2 linked regions of the Coturnix japonica genome follow. The protein of the gene in region 1 binds, or shares a complex with, the protein of each later gene. Links are inferred from orthologs where the notes say so. Each region holds a gene or a part of one and is shown on either strand. Other genes may lie near its edges.

What was found. The genes of interacting proteins can lie anywhere in the genome.
Region 2: FNIP1 (region 1) and LAMTOR3 share a complex: the UniProt entries of both Homo sapiens proteins name them as parts of the lysosomal folliculin complex. The link is inferred for Coturnix japonica from reciprocal best matches to the Homo sapiens genes FNIP1 and LAMTOR3.

Annotation. Positions count from the first base shown.
Region 1 is NC_029528.1:1,574,773-1,578,420, reverse strand, and holds part of FNIP1 (folliculin-interacting protein 1), read right to left. Parts: intron 3,488-3,648; coding exon 3,318-3,487; intron 2,025-3,317; coding exon 599-2,024; intron 243-598; coding exon 74-242; coding exon of another isoform or gene 1-73. UniProt on the Homo sapiens protein: Binding partner of the GTPase-activating protein FLCN: involved in the cellular response to amino acid availability by regulating the non-canonical mTORC1 signaling cascade controlling the MiT/TFE factors TFEB and TFE3.
Region 2 is NC_029519.1:54,082,924-54,086,671, forward strand, and holds the start of LAMTOR3 (ragulator complex protein LAMTOR3), read right to left. Parts: upstream 2,224-3,748; 5' UTR 2,110-2,223; intron 1,974-2,109; 5' UTR 1,935-1,973; coding exon 1,926-1,934; intron 1,847-1,925; coding exon 1,812-1,846; intron 1,644-1,811; coding exon 1,585-1,643; intron 1,095-1,584; coding exon 961-1,094; intron 343-960; coding exon 279-342; intron 1-278. Other genes in the region: DNAJB14 (dnaJ homolog subfamily B member 14), read right to left, coding at 3,551-3,675. UniProt on the Homo sapiens protein: As part of the Ragulator complex it is involved in amino acid sensing and activation of mTORC1, a signaling complex promoting cell growth in response to growth factors, energy levels, and amino acids.

The DNA.
Region 1 (3,648 bases):
CAGATCTGTAGGTTTGAAAACATTTACCTCTCCCCACTGTGACAAATACACTTCCCAAATACAGCTTAATTACCTGCACAGCGTGAGACAGATCCGACACCAAGCAGTGTCTCAGCTTTTCATCGCTTCCTATTCCTTGCAGAACAAAGTCGGGGACGTACGATGAGCAGTAACCTCCGAGTAAGGAGCGTCCAAAATTGGCAATACTGGGCTGGACAGAGTTCACTTCAACCAGCTTTGACCTGCAAGAAAGGCGCTTCAGAGAGATGTGCAACAGAAAACACCAAATTCAGCTCAGGAAGAGGTTGCAGCCTCATGTTTCTCATATCTACTCTTACTTCCATTCAAGAGCTTTCTATAAGAAAATAAACAGTTTAAACTCAGCTCATCACGGAAAAAAAAAAGATACAAGCCAAGATCACAATACACAATGAATATCTTTTTCCAGACCACTGATCTCTCCATATTCTTTTACAGCCAGTGAGCTCCAGAGACGCTTTTCCAATCGCCGATGCCAAGTTAGCCTACATTCCTCCAAACATGTGACATGAGAAAAGGCTGCATCTTTTCTGGGCTCTTACAGCTGAATGGTACTTACCCAGGAAAAGGAATCTCATATTCTTCTGCCCAGTCTTCCTGCTCTCCTCCATAGTAGTTACTGCTCGGTCTGGTTAGCTCATGACCTGTGTCCTCACTTTCACTGTCACCCAGGGCGCTGTCTGAGCTCTCATTTCTTGGAATGTCCCAATCAATTCCCGGGGCCACCTTTTTCTCTGCGTTTTCTCTGTCCCCATGGGGGACACGAATAGAGATGTTCTCTCTTTGGTCCTGCTCAGCAAAGCAGTTTTTGTAGGTCTCCTGTCGCACGGAGTCCATAAATTTACCAAATTCGCTGGGTGTTTTGCTAGTCTTTGCACACAGCTTTTTAGAGAACTCTAAACCGCCATTGTGAGTGAGAAGCTCTGCAGCTGCTTGCCCTGGAAGATCATCAATAGTCCGGGTTTCAACTGAGCCATCATCAGTAAAATTGTCATCAAACAGACTCATGCTCTCAGCGCTGTACGCGTTTGCATTCCAGCTCTGATGCTCACCAGCAACTTGAGGAAAGGGTTCAGCTGTCCCACAGTCTCTATTTTGGTCCTCAACAGTTTGTTTAGCTTCACAGTTCTGATCAGCAGACACTCCTTCCTCCGCTGCTGGCGGGCTGTGGTGCCTGGCAATTTGTTCCACGACTGCCTGGCTTCTGAGCTCTATGTCTGAGTCAGGTGACATGGAGTCTCCGATGAGGAAAGTCACCTTTGTCTGAGCTTCGGCAGCGCTGCAAGGAAAAGCGTCACAGAAGAGCTTATCTGGAGGTTTCTTTTCCACAGCTATCCCGGGTGACCTCGTTGCACCGATGGCCTGGCTGCCTGCTTCCAGCACGTCTTCATTCCTCCACACATTTGCTGTTGCTTCCAAACCAGATTCTGCCAACACACGTTTCTCTGGTGAAGATGACCCTGTGCACACCACGCTCTCTAGTTTAGTGTCCTGACAGGTTCTGGGTTGACGACCATCAGCAGCATCTTCCTGACCATCATCAGGAACAATAGTTCTGCTCTCATCTGAAGAAGTTTCCAGCTCCACCTTAGGAGTGTTTTGTGCGTCTTCTCTCTCTTGCTGTGAAACACCTTCTATGTTTTGTGCAAGAGAAATCGGGCATTTGCAGTTTTTACAGCTGCAGTTAGGAGTTCTCATTTCCTCAGACTCCTTTGGTAGCAAGTTACCCCTGTTCTTGTGCATTGTGACAAGCACATACTCTGATTCTTCTACTTCTCCTTTCTCCAGCGTGGTAGTTATAACAGTTCCAGGCATGACTATGGCTTCATCTTCCCCATTTTCTAGCAGATGCGTCTCCTGAAGTTCCGAGCATCTGATGAAGTAAGTGAGGAAATAAAGCAGCCTCTGTACCAGATCGTGTCTTTTGCCAACCACAACTGTTTTGGCTAATCTCACGGGTGATCCAATGGCCCCATACAGGTCACCTGGAACAGGAAATAAAAGGCGATTATTTTGCATCTTCAAAATGAACTCTTCTAACAGGCAGCTGTTGTGGCCATCTTTCAAAGGCAAGGCCCACAACAGAAGAATAGTGAGGACAGCTATGCTGTTATTCTGTTTTCAATACAGAAATTTCTAACGAAGCTGTTGGCATCATAAGTAAGATGACACGCTGGCCAGGGGGACATCTGATCTCACATAATAGGGAGTATTTGCACCACCTCACTTCAGTCCCAAGCTCTGGACGCTGGTCCATATTCCATATATAGTCATGGGAGAGAGGAGGCATCTGCTCTGAATTACCCTGGATAGCCTGGAAACTGGGCTGAACTTTTACCTACCAAAAGAAAGCCGTAAGGGGACACAAACCTATGCCAAGAATGTAGGCAAAAAGTGCCAGTGGCAGGTGCACAGCCGAAGCCAACCTTCTCTTCTCTCCCCCTGAGCTCTCCTATGGGTCAGATGGGCTGTTCTGGCAGCTTCGAAGACCAGTCTCCAGATTCACCTATATTATTCTGGAGGTATGAGGACACTGCATGAGAGCATGGAAAAGGGACATGGGATCTGAGAGGCGCTGAAGGCCAGCGCAACAACAGGAGATCCCTTGAGTCCCATCAGCTCTGCCATCATTCTCCTTGCCAAAAACCTGGCCATCCCTGCCTGTTCTGGAATAGGGTAACCTCAGAAAGCCTTCCCTTCCCCATCCAAGTGGAAGTTTGCGTGCAGAGCGAGACAACCTGCCTAGAGAGCAAGAATATCATCCTTTCTTCTCTACTCAGCAATTAAAGACAACACAACTCAATCAGCTGGGCTTTGAGACCTTACCCAGGTCCTGATTTCCTGTACTGTGTCACTCCTTTGCCCGTTGTGCTCATGGTATCTCCATTTCTCACCAAAAGATGGATTTTTCTAAATGTGCTTTTTCTAGAATCAAGCTTATCGATAGCAGCATCCCAAATAAATCAAAATGGAGTTTCTTTACAGAGGCGGGACAAGAGAAGGAACAGAATCCTCCATCATCACCAGGGCAGGAGATTTGTCACAGATGACTTTTTGGCTGCCATTTTACAATTGATACTGCCTTAAGAAATTATAGCACATGAAAAAAGAAAAAAAATAAATAAATGCAGTGAATATCTCTGAGCCTGAAATACACGCTTTAGTTTTGAGTAGGAAAAGAAACAGATAATTTCAGCTTGGATGGGGGGATGTACCACACATCCATGAATACCACCAGTTGTACTCCTTCACATAGTTTAAAGGTATTTGCCACGTACCGAGCTGTGCCCACAGCGGGTTGTATGGGTGAGTTTTGGCCAGCATGTCCACACTCTGGGAAGAATGCTTTTCCAGGAAGATCCGTATAGGCGGCTGTCCATTGGGCATCACCGTGGGGACCCAGGCCAGGTGGTTTGTCAGCACTGCGGTCAGGAGAGCTGGTAAAAACCTGAAGGCAAAATGTACAGTAGTGTGTCAAACAGACAGCACTTCCATGCTTCACATGGATGTGGGTGGCTAACAAAGCGATGGAGGTCATTCCTTAGCTCCTCTCCTCCCACATGCTCAGAGCTCTTGTTTAGAACATGCATTTCAAGTCAAATGAAAGAC
Region 2 (3,748 bases), on another chromosome or scaffold:
ACGCAACATCCATCAAACAACAAACCAGAGAAGCACTCTTACAAAAGCTTCCAAGTCTCAGGAATGGTTTTCCATAGCATTTCTAATGGAATCATAACCTCAGCAGGTCACCCAGAATCTATGGGTCTTTACCTGTGCATCTCCCAACTTTTCAGTATATTCCGACACATTAAGGAGAAAAGTTAATGCACCTTGAAGAAAACTCTATTTACTTTCAAATATTTAAAACATTCGGGGCTTAAAATACTGCAAACATTTAAAGCCACCTGGAGACGTACCGGTATTAGCATTGCTGCTGGCAATGAAGCTCACTACCAAAGGTAAGCGATTGAACTGCACCACCTGCAAGAGAGAGAAGCAGTTTACCCCTCAGCCAACACACAGTGGGTGCCACAGATAAACGTGCTAATGAAGCTGGCAGCACAGTGCAGGAAGCTGAGTGCTCTGTGGAAGCTCCTTTATATAGGTATCAAGTGGGCAGGCAGGCTTATGAGCAGACACTGGGTAGGTAACAAAAAACTCACAGTGCAAATATCCAGCTTGTAAGAACGGCAAGTAGATATTTCAGCGTTTTCTTACCTTGAAGTCCTTCTAACAGCAATATTAATTGTTAAGTGAGCTGCACGTGCTCGTTTATCTGTGTTAGTAATAAACAAATACCCTATGCAAAAAGAACATAAGCCCTTCGTGGCAGTCTGAAGGCACATCAGCAGCACCACCTGCTGGTGCTTGGTCGCCAGCTGCACAGAAAACTCGACCAACTTCAACCCGCCAGCCTTCTCAGCCTTGAGAAGCATTTAAGAGTTCAATAAAGCGCAAGAATGTAGCTTAGCCAGCTTTAACAAGGGAATTAAAGCACCAAGAGCCAAGTGGAAATCAAGCAGAGTTTCCACCATGTTCTCTCCCATGATGCTCATGGTAACACACGAGGAGCTCCGGCCCCAGGCTGCGGTCACTCACCTGGTATGTGTTGTAGTAACAGATGATGCTTTTGTTCTTGGAAAGTCCCAGCTTACTGCCCTGATCCGTTGCAAGGGCAAACGTGGACAGAAAGCCGGGTCGTAGGGCGTGTTCTGGTGCGTTATCATTGGCAACTGGGGCAGAACAAGAAAGTTTTTGCTTTAACATGGTATCAATGACTGCATCACAAACAAACCCAAAAGCTACGTGGTGTCAGAAACACATAAGACATCGCCTGTGCCTTCACAACAAGCACAGTCTTCAAGGGCAGCAGATTGTTTAATGCCTTGCAGGTGACCTGTGACCACAGCACAGCACTCCAGTTCACATCCCACATACAGTGCTGTGGGACACGCTCTGGGAACTGACTGCTGCCAAACAGCCACCAGAGGGGAGGCGGATGGAGATGTGCATGTCCAGCTGGCTGCATAAGTACTATGAACCACTAAGAAACACCACCAAATAGCAACACCGAACCTTGCTGTGCTTAAACCAGTTCACCTGCACCGCAGAGGGATCCTGAAGGAGGACTGAGATGGGCTAGAAATGACGGTACCAAACCCAGGAGGAATTAGCACACACACAGCTGGATGCTGCACACTGGATGCTGCACACTGCCGTTACCTTTGATGACAGGCACCCCGTCTCTGTCCGACACCACAATAGCGTGGAGACCTTCGACGCTGCAGAAGGAAGCGATAATTACAAAGGGCACAGCTGCTGCATATGACTCATCTACTGACCCACCGCCACCAACAGCCGCGCACGGGGCAGGCACGTGAAAGGAAGCGGCAGGGCGGGCTCAGAGCGGCACAAGGCGGAGGGGGAGATGCGAATGGAGCAACTGTTACCTGGGCAGCTTCTTGTAGAGGAACCTCTTCAGGTCCTGCGGGAACAGACAGCGCCGTGACACGACCCGCAGCGCATCCCGGCCCCCCGCAGCCCAACCGCCCCGCCCCGCTTACATCGGCCATGGCTGGAGGCCTCGCGGCGCTGCTGCCCCTTCGGCGGCCCTACGGGACGAGAGGCGCCCGCTCAGCGGCGGCACACGGAGCGGAGGAGGGCAGGGCCGGGCAGGGCCTCTTCCTCCCGCCCCGCCGCGGCAGCAGAGCGGGCTGTGGCCGATCCCCCTTGGCGGCCCTGCCGTACCTGACCGCCCCGGCCGCACTTCCCTTAGTCCCGTCAGCTGACACGACGCGAAGCGCCTCCTCACTCGGCACGGATCATTGGGCCCGGCGCTGCCGAGCGTGCGCACTGCGGGACGGCAGCGGGGCGACGGCACCGCCCGGCGCCGGGACACAGCGCCACCTGCGGGTCCGGAGTAACTCACTGAGGTACGTGGTGCTGGATGGAGGAGCCGCACAGTGTGTTTGATCATTTCCACGTCAATCCTGCAGCATTCAGGCCCAAATAAACGGACCTGCAACACCCCAACCACCTCTACCTCCAGCCCTGAACAAGTGACGCGGCTCTGAGCACAGCAGCACGAGCAGTGAGCACTGAAACAACCGGCCAAAGAACTGACAGGCACAAGGCTCAGCTGGATGTCTCTGTTCCACCTGTGGTGCCCATTGACAAGTCACCATCAGGATCTATCTCCAAATCAAAACACAGCAGGAAAATGGAAGTTTCCCAGGAAAAAAATAAATAAGTTGTTGTTTTTTTTTTCCCTTCACGTTTTCTTCTGTCTTCCCAGTGACAATTAAGGAAGCTCTATGCATGTTAGCCATACGTATGGATTTACTATAGCACTGGATACCAAATGAGAGAGCTACCGTCAGCTGCCACGAGCACTAAGAGCAATGCTTACCATGGTCAGTACAGCTGCCATGAGCACTAAGAGCAATGCTTACCATGGTCAGTACAGCTGCCACGAGCACTAGATGCAATGCTTACCATGGTCAGTACAGAACCTGCATACAACAGTCACCAGGCAAAGAGCTGAGTGCAGTCCTTCAGTTTTCTCAGCATGGCTTAGAAACACTAAAATAACCACAACAACTGACTGCTGTGCTACACCAGATGAACGCAGCCCAGCAGACCATTAGGAATATATGCTGTTATATTTAAAAATACCCAGTTCCTCTAAGCTGGCGGGCCTAGAAGATGTTACATAGAGATAAAACATTACAAATCCTCGTTCCAACTCCACACGCTCGACATCTGAATTGGAGTGATGTAACCAGACTCTATTTATTCCATCGGTGAGACAAAATGTTGTATGGAACTAAACTTCTGAGGTTTTAAATAGAAAGTCATTTAACTCGTATATACACAAAATGTTCTTTCCACAGATATTTACATGGCAAATATGTTAGAGGAGAACCACTATGACTAAGTTTCTACAAGTATAGCATCCTTTCTAAGCTATTCTCTCTGCTGAAAGAATTCACAGAAGCTTCGAAGTAAAATCTAGACAATTAAAGTTACCTATATTTCACAGTAGGTAAAGAAGCCGTTACATGATATTTCAGCTTAAGGTTTCTGGAAACAGCTACACAGTAGAGTTTTACATCCACCCTCTTTTCCAGCATTCACGGTGAAACTAAATCTCTTCTTAATTTACAGGAGAGATGCATACGAAAGCAGTTCATCCTCCTCGATAGAGGCTGGTCAAACGTTCGAGTTCTTTGCAGTTTTCCATGGACATGGAGTCTGCTTTCTTTCGGAGACGGTCATCTCGATAAACTTTCGATACATGAAGTAAATCTGTTTCTTTATGAGAAAAGAAAAAGAGAAAACACTTTTCAGGTTTAAAACTGAATGCTCTGTACATGCTGTGCATTCC